5 linked regions of the Cricetulus griseus genome follow. The protein of the gene in region 3 interacts with the protein of the main gene of each other region in a pairwise test. Links are inferred from orthologs where the notes say so. Each region holds a gene or a part of one and is shown on either strand. Other genes may lie near its edges.

The links.
Region 1: the proteins of Tacc1 (region 3) and Lsm7 interact in binary tests that used the Homo sapiens proteins (3 or more experiments, as listed by UniProt). The link is inferred for Cricetulus griseus from reciprocal best matches to the Homo sapiens genes TACC1 and LSM7.
Region 2: the proteins of Tacc1 (region 3) and Memo1 interact in binary tests that used the Homo sapiens proteins (3 or more experiments, as listed by UniProt). The two-hybrid records come from large-scale screens. The link is inferred for Cricetulus griseus from reciprocal best matches to the Homo sapiens genes TACC1 and MEMO1.
Region 4: the proteins of Tacc1 (region 3) and Ckap5 interact in binary tests that used the Homo sapiens proteins (3 or more experiments, as listed by UniProt). The link is inferred for Cricetulus griseus from reciprocal best matches to the Homo sapiens genes TACC1 and CKAP5.
Region 5: the proteins of Tacc1 (region 3) and Sh2d4a interact in binary tests that used the Homo sapiens proteins (3 or more experiments, as listed by UniProt). The two-hybrid records come from large-scale screens. The link is inferred for Cricetulus griseus from reciprocal best matches to the Homo sapiens genes TACC1 and SH2D4A.

What each region holds. Positions count from the first base shown.
Region 1 is NC_048598.1:101,634,284-101,638,297, forward strand, and holds the start of Lsm7 (U6 snRNA-associated Sm-like protein LSm7), read right to left. Parts: upstream 2,812-4,014; 5' UTR 2,748-2,811; coding exon 2,742-2,747; intron 1,882-2,741; coding exon 1,788-1,881; intron 915-1,787; coding exon 843-914; intron 252-842; coding exon 109-251; 3' UTR 1-108. Other genes in the region: Sppl2b (signal peptide peptidase-like 2B), read left to right, coding at 2,903-2,953. UniProt on the Homo sapiens protein: Plays a role in pre-mRNA splicing as component of the U4/U6-U5 tri-snRNP complex that is involved in spliceosome assembly, and as component of the precatalytic spliceosome (spliceosome B complex).
Region 2 is NC_048600.1:9,364,802-9,369,108, reverse strand, and holds the start of Memo1 (protein MEMO1), read right to left. Parts: upstream 2,811-4,307; 5' UTR 2,671-2,810; intron 2,356-2,670; exon of another isoform or gene 2,069-2,355; 5' UTR 2,052-2,068; coding exon 1,991-2,051; intron 1-1,990. UniProt on the Homo sapiens protein: May control cell migration by relaying extracellular chemotactic signals to the microtubule cytoskeleton. Mediator of ERBB2 signaling.
Region 3 is NW_023276807.1:58,554,749-58,559,016, reverse strand, and holds the start of Tacc1 (transforming acidic coiled-coil-containing protein 1), read right to left. Parts: upstream 2,806-4,268; 5' UTR 2,659-2,805; coding exon 1,898-2,658; intron 1-1,897. UniProt on the Homo sapiens protein: Involved in transcription regulation induced by nuclear receptors, including in T3 thyroid hormone and all-trans retinoic acid pathways. Might promote the nuclear localization of the receptors.
Region 4 is NC_048599.1:85,166,943-85,170,454, reverse strand, and holds part of Ckap5 (cytoskeleton-associated protein 5), read left to right. Parts: intron 1-423; coding exon 424-512; intron 513-2,378; coding exon 2,379-2,504; intron 2,505-2,830; coding exon 2,831-2,980; intron 2,981-3,261; coding exon 3,262-3,465; intron 3,466-3,512. UniProt on the Homo sapiens protein: Binds to the plus end of microtubules and regulates microtubule dynamics and microtubule organization. Acts as a processive microtubule polymerase. Promotes cytoplasmic microtubule nucleation and elongation. Plays a major role in organizing spindle poles.
Region 5 is NW_023276806.1:245,081,205-245,084,716, reverse strand, and holds part of Sh2d4a (SH2 domain-containing protein 4A), read right to left. Parts: intron 1,576-3,512; coding exon 1,464-1,575; intron 1-1,463. UniProt on the Homo sapiens protein: Inhibits estrogen-induced cell proliferation by competing with PLCG for binding to ESR1, blocking the effect of estrogen on PLCG and repressing estrogen-induced proliferation. May play a role in T-cell development and function.

The sequences.
Region 1 (4,014 bases), on a different chromosome or scaffold from region 3:
CAATTTTATTAAAAAACAAAATAAAAAACCAGAAACAAAATCCAAAAGTAAAACACCAAACAAAGTTCACACAGGAAGGAAGGTCCTTGGGGCCAGATCGCTCTCCACCTAGGCATCCTGCTGCTGCACGAAGGGGTTGGGGATAGCCTCCATGCCATCCTGTGGGCAGATGAGCACCACTGAGGTGCCTCGGCACACCACAAGCCCCAGCTGCCGTGTGTCTTCTGTCAGCTTGTACTGGTCATCAGGGTCTGGTGGGAATAGGGGGTGACAGGCAAGAGGAACTGAAGACATGTCCTTTCCACCCAGCACTCCACAACCAGGACCTCAGAGGGCTGTCCCATCTTTCTTTTGGGGACTGACACACCCAGGCCCTGGGGTCTCAGAGCCGACTGTAGGCATGGATACTACAAGAACCCAGGGCAGATACTCACCCCAAGGAGTGGTCTGCAGGGGAAGCAGAGGCCCCGGGGAGGATGGACCAGAGGTGGAGACAGGGAGCAATTAGAAAGTAATTGTTGTGGGTGCAGAGGAAGGGACACTCTTTGGGCATTACAGGTACTATTCTGGAATAAGCTGAGATCCTATGCGTCCTGGAGCTGGTGACACAGGCAAACAATCCAGACAGAGGACAGTAGCTACTATTTCTGCCATCCCCAGGAGGGCTGAGGGGAAGGAGCTGAAATCTCAAGCCTGGGGCCATCATGGTGGGCCTGTCACCTTTCTGGTGATCAGGGAGGGACCTGCACCCTAGGTCAGCACCACCTGCGGCAATGTGACTGCACAGGTGTGGAGAAGAAACAGGGCCTGGTGGCATCCCTGGACAACCACAGCCAGCTCACCTCTCATGTACTCAATGGTTCCATCCAGCACCAGGTTGAGCAGTGGGTCAAACCCTTTCAGGATCCCGCTGGCTTGAAGGGAGAGATGGGTAAGGATGATGTTATTGTCCTCCCACTACAGACCCAGGCATGGGGACAGTTATCACTACAGAACTCATGGGGAGACATGTCCCTATGTGGTGGCCTGCTGACTATGACCCCCAACTCTCTTCCTACAAGTGTGGAAGGGGCCATAGATAGTGAGTTCATGGTGGACCAAGTGTCAATAAAATGTTATCATCCCCCAAACTGAATTCTGTATAGTTTCCATGTAACACAAAATAGCCTTTTTTCCCCTCCCATTTGTATGAGAGAGTATCATTTGCCCAGGCTGGCCTCAGACTCACTAGGCAACCTGAAAATAATCTTGAACTTCCCGATTCTGTGTTTACCTTCCTAGGGTTGGAATAGCAGGCTTGTACAACCACACCTGGTTTCCATGGTGTTGGAGATAAAATCCAGGGCTTTATGCACACTAAACCAACCCTCTATCCACCAAGCTATAGCCTAGCCCTGGTTGATTTTTGGAGACAGGTCTTGCCACATAGCTCAGACTGGCTGGAACTTTCCCTGATCCTGCTACTGGAAACCTCCTGGGTCCCTGCTACCTCCAGGCTCTTGAAGGGATGCCTTCCTTCCATCCCCCTGTTGCCTCCTTCTTCTATGTCCTCCCAGCTTTCTGGCCTCTTCCTTCAGGCTCCAGCAATAATGGTGTGGGTGCTACCGCACCTGGCTTTCTTTCCCTGGGACTCATTTTCCCCATCCACAATTGAGACATACTGGTACCTCTCAAGTAACAGGATGGCCCAAGCTTAGCCTTTGTTAAGAGTTAAAATGCCTGCCTTGTGAGGCTTTCCCTTGCTTGTCGCAACCCCGATTCTTAGGGGCCCTGTTGCATCCACTCACCTTCCCGGCCACCCTGGAACTTCACTCGGATGGTCTTGTCAATGTACTTAGATAGGTCCAAGATGCTTTCTTTCTTCTTTTTCTCTTTGTCCTGCTGGAGAGTGGAGGAGCTGAGGAGTGAGACCCAGTCTTCCCATATCCTTGTTGCCTGGACCCGGCACCCAGCGACTCCTTTTGACCATCCTGCAGCCCTCATAACTGTCTGCAAACTCATTTCCATCTCCCATGTTCCCCCAACTAAATTCCAGGTCGCTGAGTCTGCATCTCTCTCTATTCCCATGCCCCCTGTGTATATCCTCATGTCCCCTGCCTGCACCCCCAGGTTCCCGGTCTGCACCCCCAGGTTGCACCCCCAGGGGTCTGCACCCCCAGGTTCCCGGTCTGCACCCCCAGGTTCCCCCTCCGGTCTGCACCCCCAGGTTCCCCGGTCTGCACCCCCAGGTTCCCCGGTCTGCACCCCCAGGTTCCCCGGTCTGCACCCCCAGGTTCCCCGGTCTGCACCCCCAGGTTCCCCGGTCTGCACCCCCAGGTTCCCCGGTCTGCACCCTCCAGGTTCCCCGGTCTGCACCCCCAGGTTCCCCGGTCTGCACCCCCAGGTTCCCGGTCTGCACCCCCAGGTTCCCCGGTCTGCACCCCCAGGTTCCTCGGTCTGCACCCCCAGGTTCCGGGTCTGCACCCCCAGGTTCCCCGCCTGCTTCCCCAGGTTCCGGGTCTGCTTCCCCAGGTTCCGGGTCTGCTTCCCCAGGTTCCGGGTCTGCTTCCCCAGGTTCCCGGTCTGCTTCCTCAAGACGCCCGGTGTGCAGTCCCACGTGATTCCTATTCCTCCGCGTCCCTGTCTCCCTATCCGTCTTCGGGTGTCCGCCCCCCTCTCTTTGGTCCTCCTGTGCCCCCAGTTTTCGCGTCTACAGTCCCTCGGGGGGAACCCCGCTCTCTCCGCGACCCAGCAATGCTCACCGCCATCTTGCCGACCTGCGCTGCTCTGCGCAGGCTCCGCACCGCCCACTTCTAGCGAGGGGCGGGCCCGCGCACGCGCAGGGCCGGCGCGTGCGCGTCTCGGGGTCCCGAAGGCGTTGCCGGGAAACCTTCCGCCTAGAGCTGCGGCAGGACAGGCGGACATGGCGGCGGCGCGGCTCGCCGCGGCCCTGCTGCTGCTGCTCGCGGCCCAGGTGAGCGCCACGGCTGGTCGGCTCGGCTGCACCACTCGTGACCGTGGCCGAGACCTTGCTGTCGTCCCCTCGCTGTCGCCACCGCAGACTTCGGGCCGGGCTTAGCCCGCCCTGCGCCCCGGGGCCCCAACTGCCGCCGCCGCCCCTGCCAGCCTCAGTTTCCTCTTCTGCAGAATGGGGCGAGTCCCCGTCCTCCTCCCCCAGGGGCTCGGGAGGGTCCCCGGGTGCCTGCAGCCCTGCATCCCGGCTTCTGCTCCGTGACCTTGGGCAGGAGGGGTTCCTCACCTCTGGGTCAGTCAATGCAACACGCGGGGGACCCGTGGGGGCCTCCGGGTGCCGCGGGATGCGCCCCGACCCGGTGCCGAGGCAGGACGTTTGGTGAGCGTCGCTTGCTGAGACACAGTCGCATGCTGGCCTTGAACTCATTCTGTAATGCGCGCTGGCCTCCCACAAGCGCTGCAGCCCAGGATGGTCTCTTGACTTTGCCATGTTGCCCAGGCTGGCCCTGAACACCCTGTTAGTCTCCCAAGTGCTGGGATGCCAGGCCTGCGTCACAACACTTGGCTTAGTTGTTAGATTTCTTGTTTGTTTCTGTGGCATCAGGCTCCAGTCCCAATGGTTCGTGAAGGGCTGCAGCCTCGGGCACACGGGGCAGTTGCTGGGTTCTAATGCGGATGGCCCACAGGGTGGCCTGTGCACGTTATTCTATATATTCATCTTCTCTCATGGACCCTGGGTCTGGATCGTTCTTTCAAATACTTTTTTTTTTTTTTCAAGATTACAAAATCTTGAGACAGGATCTCCTTTTATAGCCCAGGCTAGCATTGAACTTGTAACTGAGCCTCAGCCTTCCCAACACTGGCACAACTGGCATGCTCTTCCTTGATTGGCTAAGAAGTTAAGACATTACCCAGGCGTGGCGTTCCTAGCCTCTCCACCATGTGGCCCACATCCCCCTTTGACGTTTTTGTCCCCACATCCCGCTCTTGGCTGGGCATGAGCTTTTGAAAGTGTGTCAGGGCTCCCCACCCTGCCAGCAGTCCTCAGCTCTCTCTGCCTCA
Region 2 (4,307 bases), on a different chromosome or scaffold from region 3:
ACAGAGTAAGTTCCAGGATAGGTTCCAAAGCAATACAGAGAAACCCTGTCTCGAAAAACCAAAAAAAAAGAAAAAGTCTCACACACCCCAAAAAGTCATACGTCTGAATTCCAGTAAGGTAGTTCACTCAGATTTTAGAGAAGAATATAATTACTACTAATAAGTATCTATAGTCAAGATTTTTTTGAACCAAATTAAAGGCTACAACTTGTGTTTGAACTCTAAGGAATTCTAAAACCAAAAGTGTCAATTGTGTCCAACTTTACTACCTGTATAAATATTTAACAATCTAAAAGATTCTCTCCAGGACATTTGCACACATTTCAATGTAAACTACAACGAAAGTTTAAAACATTTGTAACAAATGTAAACTGGGCAGTGGTAGCACTGGCCTTTGTCCTTTGATCCCAGAGGTGGAGAGGCAGAGGCAGGTAGATCTCTATGAGTTTGAGGCCAGCCTGATCTACAGAGCTCAACTAGAGCTACACAGAAAAAACAAAACAAAAAGTATAGAAATACCACAATAAATAAATGCCAAAAGACAACCATGATATGAAAAAAAAGTGTGACTGTAATTCTCCAAAACGTACTGGGGGGGGGGGGCGGCACACTTATTTACAAGCCTGCTATTTAGCAATGAATAATATTAATAGTGCATTGATTTAGAAAGGGAAAATTCAGGCTTGTTCGATTCCTATTTCACCTCTGGCCTAGTCTTGGGTGCGGCACTAAAATTTTGTTTCCCCATATACTGACACAAGAATAACTTAACTGACATTTTCAGGTTGTGAGAACTGATTAAAAGTCTATGAAGTACTTCAGGACCACAAAGGGAACAACACTTTAGGCAAAAAAAAAAAAAAAAAGGCATACTTATCTAAGGCAAGAAACTACAGCTACCTGTTAGCAGTAGATCCAAAACCCAACCATAATTCCTTTGTGTCTTAGTAGGGCGAATCCACTGTGAGCCTGTAAGGTACATGTATTTTCAAGAGCTGGTGGAACAATCTCAGAAAACACACTAACTGCCTTCCACATTTTCTGTTTTCTAAAAAAAAAAAAAACAAAAAACAAAAACAAAAACAAAAAACTAGTACTTGCAAAGGAACACATGAAGTTTAGGGCCAGTTGTTTATAAGCCAAGCTGGACTAGAAACCAACAGGAATCACAGAGGAACTTTTCCTTTGTTACCATACCAGAAATGTGACCCCTGAAAATCTCAAAAAGCAATCCTTGCCACGAGAGTTGGACTAAAGGGAAACGGCCCTAGCCTTTCTTACCTAAAGAACTCCACATGGTTTTTAAGAGAGTGCAGACAAGAAGGCAGAATTCTCTCAAAACGTAAGCTAACTGGACAGGTAGTCCAGCACTCGGTGCTGAGCGCTGGGTACTTTAGAGGTTGCTGGGGAAAAGTGCTGATGCCATCTCCAGCTGCCCCTGGATGACAGTAACAATGCAAACACTGACAAAAGAGCTAGGAGGCTACCCATAGCCCCTGCCTGGCAGCACCTCTGCCAGAGCCTCCACATACAAAGCGACAAATCCCCGAGAGGCCCTCGGCTGACAGATCTTTCAAGCGAGACCTAGAGTGGCAACATGAAGTGGGGGACAAAAGTAAGGCTTGTCACTCCTTCCAGGGGCGCGAGGTGCCTCGAAGATGAGGGCAAAGGCTGCTGTGCTTTCGACCAGTCCCTAGCACGAGGACCGCACCGACTCGTCCTTCCCCGCGGCAGCCGCTGTCCGCGAAGCCCCGCAGCCCGCGCTCGCCCTGGCCCTGCCCGGCCCCGGCCCGACCCGGCCGGCAACTCCTCGGCCAACTCCGCGGGCGCCAGGCGGCCAGCCCGAGCGCCGGGTTGGGGGAGGCGACACGGCCCGGCCCGGCCCGCTCCCTCGGCACGCGGTCGCGCCGCCGCCCGCGCCCGCCGCCCGCGTCCCCGCCCGCCGGGCCCCGGCTGCTCAGCTCGACCGCCTGGCGGCCTGGATCCCTACCTGAGGCGGTGTACCAGCTCCCGGCGTGGCTGGCTTCCCGGCAGACCACTCGGTTGGACATCTTGGTGCCTGTGCCGCCTATGGTGCACGAGGATGAATGAGGAGGCGGCGGCGGCGGCGGCTCCGCGAGGGACGAGACGCGCGGGCCCAGAGGAGGAGGCGGCCGCGGGGAGGGGACCGGCCCGGCCCAGGAGGAGGAGGAGGAGATGGCAGCCGGGGCGGGGGCAGTAACAATCACCACAAACTCCGCCGGCCGCCCGGCAGATGGGGCCCCACGGCGGCTTGGCCCGAGCCGCGCGGCCGCCAAGTCGCCGCCGCTGCCCTGACCGGGCTGCTTCCGCGAGCCGCCCCCGGCCCTGCAGCGCGCGGCCTGTCGAGCCTCCCGCTGACCCCACCCCCGTGACTCCGCGCCCGCCCCTCCCCACCCGCCCCGGGCGCCCCGCCCCGCCCCCACCGCCAGGCCTCCCCCCCCCCCCCGCCTCGCGCCCGCCGGCCCCGCCCCGCGCCTCCGCCCGCCGTGCGGCGCGCTCAACGGCGGAAGCGGGACGGGCCCCGCGCCATCCGGGGTCGGGCGGCCGCGGGCGAGGTGGCGGCGGTCGGTGCCACTCTCTCACCCCTCCACCTCCCCCCACCACAGCCCGGGGCCGGGGCCTGAACCCGGGGAGCCCACGCGTCCTTACTCTCCGCTCTACCGGGTCCTGCCCACTGAGCATGCCCAGCGCCGCGGCCGGGCCCGCCGAGGCTCAGCGTGCACGCTCCGCTCTCCGGGGTTTAGCGCCAGCAGAGGCTGGGGGCAGGGCGCGGGGCGCAGGACGCAGCCGCGAGGCGGGGAGAGCCCCTTCCCTCCCGCCCCCCCCCAGCCGCCTGGCTTGTCCCCGCGCGCCACCGGCTCAGCGCGCACACGAGGTCTAGGCTCGCCCTGCCCGGCCGGGGTTCCCCCTGCCACCGCGTCCTTGGTGGATTCCCACCTCGGGGTGTCGCCCAGGAATGCAAGTCTGGGGCGGCGCCGCAAGTTTCATTTGCAGAAACTCGAGCGCGGCGAAGCGTACGGGTGGAGTGGGGGGGATGGAGGAGGGGCGCTGTAGCCGTCGCTTTCCAGACTGGTCCCTACCTCCTAATAGTGTCGCTTTGACACAGTTATGTTAACTTATTGTATCATAGCTGTAACTGCAGTGTGGCAAAGATCGTCTCAGTTATTTCCTGTGTAAAATGGGAGGGGGGGTGACATTCCGGAGAGAGGGGTACCTAATGCTTTCGAGGAGCCGGACAAGGTAAGGCATACTACAAATGTCACCCTTCACTTGCCTCATTAAATCTCACGTAAGTATCGGCAGCAAAGAATTCCTTTACAAGTTGGGAAGAGTCACAAAGGAAGTGAGTTTGGCTTTAAATTGCAGGATTCCAAAACTAGGAAGTGTAACAGTGGCGCATCTCCTAGAAAAATATTTGGGGCCGAAGTCACACAACGGGTATATCTTAGTTTCACTTTAAACTACGTCCAAAGTAGATGTCTAGCTGTCTAATACCGAAATGCTGTGTTCCTTAATGCCATAACAATATACTTTTTGTTTGCTTGGGGTTTTTGGTTTTGGTTTTTTTTGTTTGTTTTTTGTTTTTTTTTGCCAAGTTCTCAAGTGTTGTTATGAAGAAAGCTCTGTGGTTAATGTCAATGACAAGAAAAAAAGAAGGTAAATTGTTTCTCCCAAGAACTTGTGTCTCTTACCAAACTTAGCGAAGACCACACTGATGAATAAAATACGGGCTGTTGGGCTAAAGAAATGGCTCAGAAGTTAAAAATATGTACTGTTCTTGCAGAGGACCTGAGTCGAGTTACAGCACCCACATTGGACAGCTCCCAAACATGTTAGTCCCGCTCCAGATCTGACGCCCTCTTCTGGCCCCTTCAGGCACCTACGATTCCGTGCACATACCCACACACAAATATACAATTAAATCTGTTTTTAAAGATCTCCAGAATGCTTTCAAGTATAGACGTTTCCTTTTTAAGACCAAATTTCACTATGTAGCTCTGACTGACCTAGATGAAACACCCAATGTAAACCTGGCTGTGTTCGAACTTACCTGACCCTGCTTTTGCAGGGATAAGTGGGAAGGCAGATGTCACCACAGCAGCTGTTTGAGACAGGATCTCCCTATATATCCCTGTCTGGCCTAGGACTGTGTATGTAGACCAGGCTGGCCTTGAACTTGCTGGGAAACCACCCACATCCTCTTGAAAGAAGTCAATTGAACCTGTTCACTTCCACCTCCCCTAAATGCTAACTTTGGCTCGGCTCTGCGCTGGTGGTGCACACCT
Region 3 (4,268 bases):
TCAAAAGTTAGAGGCTAGCCTGAATGTTACAAAGTGAGACTCTGCTTCAAAGTGTAGAACGACTCCACATCATTTATATTATTTGCTCTGCAAAATCCTAACCATATTACATTGTCTCTATTTAATTACATCTTTTCGAACGTTCCCAAAAACTGTTCACTGTGTATGTTAACCCCACGATGCTTCAGTCTTTTCAAAGTGAAGGGACTCTGCTCTCCAAGTCTAACACAGCACAAGAGCAAGCACTCTTTTCTTACAAGAAAAGAATGTTGACTGGGTACAAGTCTTTTCATTAAGTCTGTGTGATCTATTAAAGCAATACATTTATTCCACAAAAAAAAAAAAAAAAAGGAACAGTAGAAAAGACCACCAGACCACCAGGTGAAGATGGCAGGGCTCAAAAGTGGGCACTTCCTGGTTCTAAACACAAGAGACAGAGTTAGTGTCTCCTTCCTGGGCCCAGATCTCATCTTAGGGAAATGCATTCACTTCACTCTTCCACCTGCAGCTGGAAAGAAGGCACTGAAGGACCAACGCTTTGGCAGGCATCAACACACCCAGGATGTACCCCAAGTGCTGTCCAGACATAGCTACCTAACCACAAAGGTCAAGAGAGGTCTGCACAAACAATCGGTAATAGTTTTTAAAGCCACCTGATTGCACCTATGTAATCTGAAAGCAGACTTAGAACCACTCCTGTCAATTTATTCCCCTTAAACATACCACCAATACTGGGGAGAACTGATCGCTGTGTGGCTTAACTTTCTTGGTCTTGAAATTAGCATTTCTACTCTTTAACCCTCGGGATATTTTTCTTTCCAATGTAGTTCACAATCAGGTGTTTTTAAGACATAGTAATGTTGAAGAGTATTTCCTGGGACTGGAGAGATGGCTTAGCACTGGCTGCTTTTCCAGAGGACGCTTGTTCAATTCCCAGCACCCACATGGCAGTTCACAGCTGTCTGTAAGTCCAGCTCTAGAGGACCTGATGCCCTCATCTGCCTTCTGAAAGTACCAGGCATGAAAGTTGTAATATAGACATACATACATATATTCAGGCAAAATACCCAAATTTCCCTAGCCGAACTAACAACAACCACACACACACTTCCTTTTCAGCATTTTATTCTCCAAGTCACTGGCCCCTGCATCTAATTTTTCACAAGGTGTCATAGGGTTTTAAATGGTTATACTATCTTTTATTCAACTCGAGTTTCCTGATCATGTAATCTTGTATCAAAATTAAAAACCTGATGTGGAATATGGCCTGAGAGATTACTCTGAGAACTCACAAACTAAATAAAGGTTCATTCCTGTCTCCCAGGAGAAAGTAGGAGGTAGAAGGAACATACAACAAATTTACCCAAATTCAACTGGTTATTTAGAACACTCTCATCACAGAAAGTCACTAATAAACTACAAACACACAAGGAAGCAAGAATTCTCATCATTACCACCAATAAAAATCACAACTTTCCGTTCTGTAAGATTGTTCTGCGTCATTTCTGACATTGCTGACCTTAGACAGATAATTTTGGAATGTAAAGATGGTGGCTAACACTGACACTTGAATTCTATGTATAATGTAATTCCTGGAAACCTCAAATATTTACTTGATTTCTTTTAAACAATTTTTTAAAAAAGTATCCAGGATGTGTGTGTGTTGGGGGGGTGACCTAAACAAGTCAAGGACCCAGAGATAAGGCAGAAATCAACAGGAAAACTTCTGATGCTTCCAAACACACAGAAGAGTTAGGCAAAGGGGCAAAGACTACAGAGTAAAGTGTCCCCACTGTACCACAAACATTTATGAGTGCAATTCACAGAAACCAGAAGTAGCTGCCAAACTCCCAAAGAACACACCAGAGCACCACGCCCAGCACCCACTGTCACTCACGTTATTAAACGCGACTTTGCCTTCTTGGGTGACTCTAAGATTTCATTAACATGATTACCAGTGGTGGAACAAAAGCTGCTGCTTGTCAGAGCTGTGGTTGGCTTAAAGGGGTCCATAGACTCATCGAAGTTATCTGGGTCAAAGTGGTAGGAGCCTTTGGAGGAGAGGGGTGGGGAGCTCTGCAGAATGGGGCAGTTCCCAGAGGAATTAAAGTTGGGGTGATCCCATCTACTAGGATCTAGCTTAGGAGATGTTTGGGAGAGTGAGGCATCTTGGACTCTTGGGTCTGCAGGCTGTTCGACATCTACTGGCTGACTGATGCCATCTTTCCGTATGTTCGGCATCAGTTTGTTAGTAGGTTTCCTTGGAAGGTCATTCTTGGCCTCGACATGTTCCCCATCTTCTGTAAAATCATACTCAAGTTTGACAGACGAGTTCCTGGACTCCTCCTGCAGCTCACACCCTGAGCCACTAGTGCCATTACTGAGAGCTTCTGCAGCTTCTTTCAGGTTAAGGGAAGATTTCTGGGCCCTGGTACCTCTCAGCACGCTAGGATATGTGTTCTTAGCCACTTCATCAGGAACTGACAGGGAGGAAGCCTTAGGGAAAGGCAAACCTTCCATGATCATTTCAGTTTCAGAGGCATCGCCTCCAGCTGTCTTCTTCCTCAGGGAGACAGGCTTGGGTTTTCTTAGCTTGCTTCTGCTGGCTTCTCTGGTCTTCAGACCAGCCTCTGTAAAGGCCTCAAATGTAACCGCCATGCCTCCTTCTGTCACTGGCTTGTCCTGAGTAGCTTCTGATGCAGCAGAGGGCAAAGCCTTGCCTGAGAGTGCAGGTTCACAGCCATGAGCTGCTTTTGTTCCAAGAGCAGCTGGGTCATCTGTAGAACTCCTGGTTTCTATTGAAAATGGCCTCACTACTAAGATCTTACTAACATCATGTTGGGTTTCTCCTCTGACATCCTTGACTGAATGAGAATCAGTAGTCGCCTGTGATGCTTCATTTTCTGAAAATCTAGAACATGTATCAGATGAACATTTTTCAATCACTTCTGCTACAAACTGTTCATCAGCTTCTTGTGATTCTAGAAAAAAAAAGGAAGAAAACTCTATTAAAGAATTCTATCACTTGTAAAGAGTCTGCACTGTGTGACTTTATCAACAAGCAGCAAGTCCTTCCTTCCCTCTACCCTTAGCTCAGCAGTTTTAACTTTAAAAAGACTATAACAAGCTCTACACACTAGCCAGGCGGTGGTGGTACATGCCTTTAATACCAGCACCGGAGAGGCAGACACAGGTGATCTCTGAGTTCTAGGTCAGCCTGGTCTACAGAGTGAGTTCCAGGACAGGTTCCAAAGCTACAGAGAAACCCAGTCTCAAAAACAAACAAACAAACAAAAAGCTCTACACCCTAAGATGAATTTTACTTGGCTAAGAAACTGCTATGCTAGTAACACAGTACTGAGCAAATGTAAATCAGAGTTCTACTGTACGTGTACCGTGTGATGCTAAGGTCCTGTAGGTTCACGCTCTCTGGAGAACCTAACACACAGCAGCTTAGCTGGAAGGCTGCTGAGAAGAGCCAAGCTGCTTCCCAGGCCAGAATGCTTCAGCTAGCAAAACTGAATCTAGTTAGTCCTAGTTTTCCCTGTTCCACAGGCTAAAACTGAATGAACTACTACAAAAATTAATAAATAAATCCTACCATGGCCAGATCATGGTCTACTTTTCTATAGACACAATAACCAGAAAAAGCCTGTAAAAAGGGGAAACTGCAAAAGCAAATATAGATGAGGCTTCAAAAGTAGGGAGTAGCAGTGTGAGCCTATAACCCAAGTACTCAGGAGGCAGAGGCCAGGGGTTATGAGTTGGAGGCCAGCCTGGGCTGCACAGAGAGATTCTGTCTCAAAAAACAGATACAGAGATGGCTGTAAAAACAAATATCCCTTATTTGACTAAAACATAAACCACTAAGAAATGTCATCTTTTTTCTTTATAACATTTATCTCTAGGCTAGGGAGATAATCCCCTCAATCACTTGTAAACAAAATAATTTCTCAATTTCGGTTTTACAAGAAAATATGCAAATGGAGAATTTCAAACACAAATTTCGACCTCAAACAACAATTTATCAACAGAAACTAAGTGTGCTGTCTTTCCTCTCACTCGAAGATTTCCTGTTGCTACTTCCTGATCCTAAACCAGGACCCAGAAGCAGATCACCACCATCTCACAGCACTCACACATCTTGTGTGCACCCACTGTGTGTGTTGCTCTGGGCTGGCCCAGAACTCATTCCATAGCCTAGGCCAGCTCCACCTGGCACTGGTCCTTCCACCTTAGCCTCCCCAGCGCCAGGATCACAGGTGCAC
Region 4 (3,512 bases), on a different chromosome or scaffold from region 3:
AGAGATCTGTTTGCCTCTGCCTCCCCAGTGCTGGGATAAAAGGCGTGCACCACCAACGCTGGGCTTGCTTTTGTTTTTAATTAGCTTACAAAATTGCAAGTTCCCTCCTCCCTCCCACAATATCCTTTGTTTTGATCTTCTTACTCCCTCCTCTCACTATGTAAGTCATCATATCCTCAAACTTGCAGCAATCTCCCTGGCTCTACCTCCCAAATACTGGAATAACAGGCATTTGCCACTACGCCCAACTTCTAAAGAGAAACTTGAAGAGAAAAAAAGGACTAGGAAAAAAAAATCTTTAAATGCCTTATATATATTGATACATATAAGGCTACAGAGTTGTTTTTAATCATTGTGTGTTTAATGTATCTAGGATAACTGATAGGAGTTTAACATAGTATATGCTTTTTTTCCCCCTCAAAGCACCTGTTGAAGATTCTGTTTCCAGCACCACAGAAGCTAAGCCTGATCTGAAGAAGGCTAAAGCTCCAGGAGTTTCCTCCAAAGCAAAGGTGTGTTAACTCTGCACACTTAGATAGTTCTTTTGTCTTAATTTTGTACACTTAGTCAGTCCATTAGGAAAGGTCATTGTATGTATGAAAGAACATTCCTGCTCTTGATAATATGAAATTAATCATTTATAGAAGTTTCTGTGTCTCTGATTGGTTTCATTTTTTTGCTCTACTTGAGATAAAACTTAGGACTTGTAGCTAGAGAAACCCTGTACTTGGTCCTGTGGCCATGGTTTTTTATTAATCAGATCCCAAAACAGTCATTCTGTTTCCACAAGATGTTGTCATGGAGATCTCTGAATATTTGCACTAATGAAAAAGAGTGTGACATTGTAACACACACGTTTAATCATAATACTAGGGTGGCAGAGGTAGTTAGATCTCTATGAGTATGAGGCTAGCCTGGTCTACATGGCAAGATCGTGTCTCAGATACAAAGGAGAAAAAGCATATGCTCTGTCAACCCTGGGAATAATCCTTAGGTTGGTCTGTATTTGAAAATAATCACCTTTCTTCATACCCAGCTTAAATGATTTATTTGTATTATTTTATGTGCATTTGTGTTTTGCTTACATGTATGTCTTTTTGAGTATGTCAGATCCCCTGGAACTGGAGTTACAGATAGTTATGAACTGACACTTGGGTGCTGGGAATTGAACCTGGATTATCTGGAAGAGTATTTAATGCTCTTAACTGCTGAGCCATCTTTCCAGCCCCAGAGTCTGCTGAATTTTTTTTAAAAGCTTACAAAGCACTTTTACATAAATGATTTTTTTTTAGCAAAAAGGTATTTAAAATGAAATTCTGGGAAACTAGAAAAATTAACTTTTGCTACATTTATAATAATTTCAATAATAAGATTCAGATTTTACATTAAGCATATGCACTATTCACCATTTTTCTTCCATTTGATAAAAATATTTTAGTCCTATTATATTTGAAAATTAAGTATTTAAAATATATACAGTGCTGGGTGTTGGTGATGCACATCTTTAATCCCAGCACTCGGGAGGCATAGGCAAGTGGATCTCTGTGAGTTTGAGGCCAGCCTTGTCTACAGAGCAAGTTCCAGGACAACCTTTAAAGCAATACAGAGAAACCCTGTCTCCTCGAAAATCCAAATAAATAAATAAAATATATACAGCAATTTTGTTTAGAAAACGATTTAGTACTTTAGTTACAGCACTGTAGTAGAGCTACACTAAAGAAAGATACATAGAGAAAAATAGAACTTTCTCAACTAAGTGATATGAGCTGTACAAGTGCTATTCATTCAAATGACATTAGTATGAAATATATAAATATATAAATAGCCTTGAAGAGACAGGAGGTGGTGGTACATGCCTTTAAGCCCAGCACTCAGAAGGCTGAGACAGGCAGATCCCTGAGTTTGAGACCAGCCTAGTCTACAGAGCTAGGGTTATACAGAGAAACCCTCTCTTGAAAAACCAAAACAAAGATCTAAAGGTATTGAAGATTTCAAGGAAGAAAACTAAAAATTGTCTGAGACCCAGACTAATTGGAGTTAATAGCAATTTTTCCAAATATATATATAAGTATCATTCTAACTCAATAACTAACAAAGACTCACATAATTTACAACATTTATAGTATACATATGTATTCAGAGTCTAGAGCTGAGGTGGGAGGATTGCAGGTTAAAGACTAGCCTGGTCTACATGGTAGGACTTTGTCTCATTCAAAAGCATATTACGTGAAAGATTCATGACTCATCATTTTCTTTCATGTTGGAATATATTGTAGAGTGAGTTTTCTGGCTCCTGTAATGTTCTCTCCTGTAATGCAACAGCATATGTTCATCAGAAGTGGTCTACCTAATCGATATTCCCTTAACTCTGGTTGTAGAGTGCACAAGGGAAGAAAGTGCCAAGCAAAGCCACCTTAAAGGAAGATGATGACAAATCTGGCCCTATTTTTATTGTTGTTCCAAATGGAAAGGAGCAAAGGATGAGAGATGAGAAAGGATTAAAGGTAAGGAAGTAATAAGAATCTTTGGGAATTTTTGCTTGTTTTTATCTTGTTAATCAAGGACTTAGCCTGCTAAGACAGGAAAATTACTGTGAATCCATGGCCAGCCTGCTCTCTGTATTCAGTGCCAGGTCAGTCACTACTAAATGGCAAGACCCTGTCTCAAAAAAAAAAAAAAAAAGGATGAAAGAAAGAAAGAAGAAAAACAAAAACAGGCTAAAGAGCAAAAAAGCATCAAATTAGTTGGGTCCTTCAGCTAGCTGTGCCAGGTGACTATCTCAACTTTGTATCAGTTGAACTATTCACTGCCTTCCTGTTTTTCCCCTCAGGTGCTAAAGTGGAATTTTACTACTCCACGTGATGAATACATTGAACAGCTGAAGACTCAAATGTCTAGCTGTGTGGCTAAGTGGTTACAAGATGAAATGTTTCACTCAGACTTCCAGCATCATAATAAAGCCCTGGCTGTCATGGTTGATGTAAGTCTTCAAATAGATAAATATCTATATGTCTTGGGAATATGGAAATATGGAGTACTGTGAAATGGTCAAGTTTGAAAACCTTGAGGAAGGATGTACAGTGTTTTCTGTAGAGCTGTCTCATTTGATAAAATAAATGATGTTGTATTTGGGGGGTCCTATTAAAGCTCTAAAAATCTTAGATTTTCTTTGGGGCACCAGAACAATTTAAGAAATATGGCTCTAATAGAATTTAAATTTGCATACAAAATTAACTGTGGGGTTTTTATTTTTATCTTAAGCACTTGGAGAGTGAAAAAGAAGGTGTCATTGGTTGCCTGGATCTTATCTTAAAATGGCTTACCCTCCGGTTTTTCGACACCAATACAAGCGTTCTAATGAAAGCACTGGAATATTTAAAATTGCTCTTTACTCTGCTGAGTGAGGAAGAATATCATCTCACTGAGAACGAAGCATCTTCCTTTATCCCCTATCTCATCCTCAAGGTAATGTGTTCTTACCCTGGAGACTTCTTGAGTTCTGAGCTAACTTT
Region 5 (3,512 bases), on a different chromosome or scaffold from region 3:
GAATATGAGTTGGCCAAAGAGACCAGAAGTAAAGGATTTTTTTTTTAAGCCATAAACATGCTGTGGAGAATTTCAGAACACCTTAGTAAATGTACAAACACTTCACAATATGCCCTTTAACATTAATTACTTTCTAAAATAGATGGGGTTGTCATCTTTTAGCAGTGTAGCGTTAAAGATTAATGCAGGATGTAGTAACTATTTACTTTGGGAGCAGGGAGGTTGGAGACATGGTTTCTCTGTGTGGCCTTGGTTATCCCAGTACTGGCCTTGAACCCACAGAGATCTGCTTACCTCTGCCTTCTAAGTGCTGGGGTTAAAGGCATGCATTACTATCCCTGACTTCGAAGTTTCACGGGGGGGGGGGGTGTCTTGTTTTGTTTTTTTTTTCAATAACCATTTTCATTGAGGTTTTTTTTTAAAAAATAATTCAGGCATTGTGGTTTAGATATTGTCATATTTGACACTGAAGACACTAAAAACTATTTATCATACGAGAGTTTCAGTGCTTAGCACAAGAAGGTCACAGATTGGATCTTGCAAATAATTTTTGTTTCACAAAACTTTTAGCATAATGGATTGTAATGGAACTGCAGACCAATTCAGGACCTTAGCATCCTGAAAATCTTGCTGTTTAGGTTCTTCCTGTCTCCCTGTCTCAAGTGACAATCAAGTCTTCTCTGTTGGTGCCAAGTGAAGACTCTCAGCCATTCTTCAGCCTGGGTTGCCCATCCTCTGCCTGTCCTGTCTTCCTGGTTTGGCCCTGGCAGTACAAGCTCAAAAGAGAGTCAATGTTGGGTCAGAGGCATAGAATCGTGAGAGTGATGCAAATATATCCCATCTGTCAATTCTGCATGCTTTGTATTACAAAGTAGAATATTATTTTAAAATATGTTAACATTCGTTTATGTTATGGAATATTTGTTTAAAGATGCTAAGATATGCTGCATTCTTTCATATTGTATTTATTTAACTCTGTGAAGCTGTGTTACTTTGTCTGCCTCAAACACCTGATGGGTCTAATAAAGAGTTGAACAGCCAATAACAAGGCAGGCAAGAGAAGGGATAGGCAGGGCTGGCAGGCAGAGTGAATAAACAGAAGAAGAACATAATAGTAATAATAATTTAGAATTTTTAAATAATTATATTTTATACTATTTATAATGTTTTCTTCTCCAAGAAAGGGACATATTTTAATGTCATTGAATATTCTTCTGTGGGATTTTTTCATAGCTATATACAATTCCACCATACAGAAACATAATTTAACAGTATAAAGATGAATGCAAAGCCATTCTGCTACTCAGGCACCTGAGGAGATACCACTTCCTGATACCATTTGAGTGACAACTCAATGGGAAGGTACTTCTCAAGGATGCACTCTCTGTGCCTCCTGATGAATCACTCAAGTGGAAGGTCCAGTCTCGAGCCTGGAGGTGCCTCTGAGGCCCCGGGGTACTCACACGATGCCTGCCATTCGGAATCCTCCTTCCAGCTCTTGTATATCTGCTTGGTTTTCTCATCCTCTGTTTGTTTCACGTCTTCGTCTTCTTTTTTCTTTATGGGTTCTTTAGTCTGTTTGAAAACAAAAATAGATATGGGAAGTGGTGAACAAATGTGACAGTTTCTTTAAGAGGGCATAAGGCACTCTGGGTCCATTTAACTGTCTCTGGCCCACTAGGGAGCTACTTGGTGTCAGCAATGCCTGAAGCAAGAGCTCTGGATACCTCTGTGTGGGACTCTAGACTCTGTTCCTGCAGGCTGTTTTCCTAGAAGTGAGAAAGAACGTCACATAGAGTTCCTGTGAGCATCCATGCTTTAAGAGTGCCTGGCACAATGCACAGCACATAAGATCTATCTAAGCAACCCTTCCCCAGACCGGCACTTAGCTATTCCAAATATATTTCTCTGATGTAAATATGCGGAGTCATGGGGCCAGCGTAGACACTGACCTGCGGTAGCTAACAGGCTCCCAAGAGCAATCTTAACTGGGTGGGGTTTAAATGTTCTCCAACAAATAGGAGAATGTGATATGTGATTTGGGGTGCTCAAAAAAGGAATGAGGTGCTTTTTTGCCCTTCAAACACACAAAAAGTATCACCTTTGAAAAAGTGAAATACACCACAGAGTGAGTTCAAGTTCAGCACAATTTTGTAAGATTGTGTCTCAAAATTAAGAGGGTCATGGACACAGGTTGTCCACAGACCAGCTTTGTGAAAGCTCTATCCTGGCTTGCCTACCATGTGCAAAGCTCTAAGCTGAATCCCCCGTGCCACAGGAGGAGGAGACAGAGGACCACAAAAGTGACACAGAGGACCACAAAAGTGACAATGATGACTTTCCAACTACAAAGATGCAACCAGTGCGTAAAGTACTTGCTGTATAAGCTTGAGAACCTGAGTCTGAATCCCTGGTGCCCACGTAGTAGCTGGGCCTTGGGGTATGTGCCTGTAACTTCAGTGATGGCAGGGTAGACACAGGTGGATACTAGGGCAAACAGCATGTTCTAGGTTAAGTGAGAGATCACGTCTCAAAACATATATGAAGTCATAGAGGAAGACATCTAGTGCCTTCCTGGGGCCTCTATATGCTCATATATTGGCAAGTGCATCCTTTCCCAGGTAGATACATCATATACCATCCCATCCCAACGTACATAAAGATTTCCTTGCCATAAAAGCATTGTACCATTTTTGAAATCAAATCTTGGTTTGGATCACTGTAGGAAGCTATCGACCACTGTTAAGGCAGTCATACTCTGAATCTGTGCTCAACTGTATTTGAACACACCGTCTACTTTGATTTTTTTCTTACACTGTTTTCCTGCCTAGAGTCAAGCTCTCATTGTTGGTGTCACAGTGTTTTATAAAATCCAAGGAACAGCTTTTGGTTCTTGAGATTACTAAAATTTGCCATCTATTACTGAAGCTGGTTATGAGCCTGAAGAACATAGAAGTACAGCTCAAGATGTTCAAACTTGGACAGAAGGAAAAAACACAAACCCTTAAAAGAGGAACTCTGTTCATTTTTGGTCATTTGCTACAACTCTTGCTGGGCAGATGTGAACAAACTAGTTATGAAAGAAACATTCTCCCCATGTCAAGACTGAGGCAACAATGAGGATTCTAGGGACACTGACAGGAACCCAGACAACTGAAAGGCAAATGAGTCACCAAGCCCACCCCACCAAGTCAACCACTCATCAAAGTTAGGTCCCTGGAATTGTTGGCCCAACTTGTAGGCAGATTCATTAAAAAGCCTCCTCCAACCTACCAATTATTTACTGCTTATCTAACTTTGGAGCAGGCAGCAGGGAGTGCTTGTCACTTCTTGTTACTGCTCCATCTTGCTTCCCTCCCTTTCTCCTGCCTCCTGGATGGAATGTCTTAGTAGAGGAATCAGATACACAGTAGTACATACATATGTATTTATTTAGTCTCTCTGTCTCTTTGTCCCTGTCTCTGTCTACTTGTGTGTTCCTATGTGAGGCTTCATCTGTGCAGGAGTGAGAG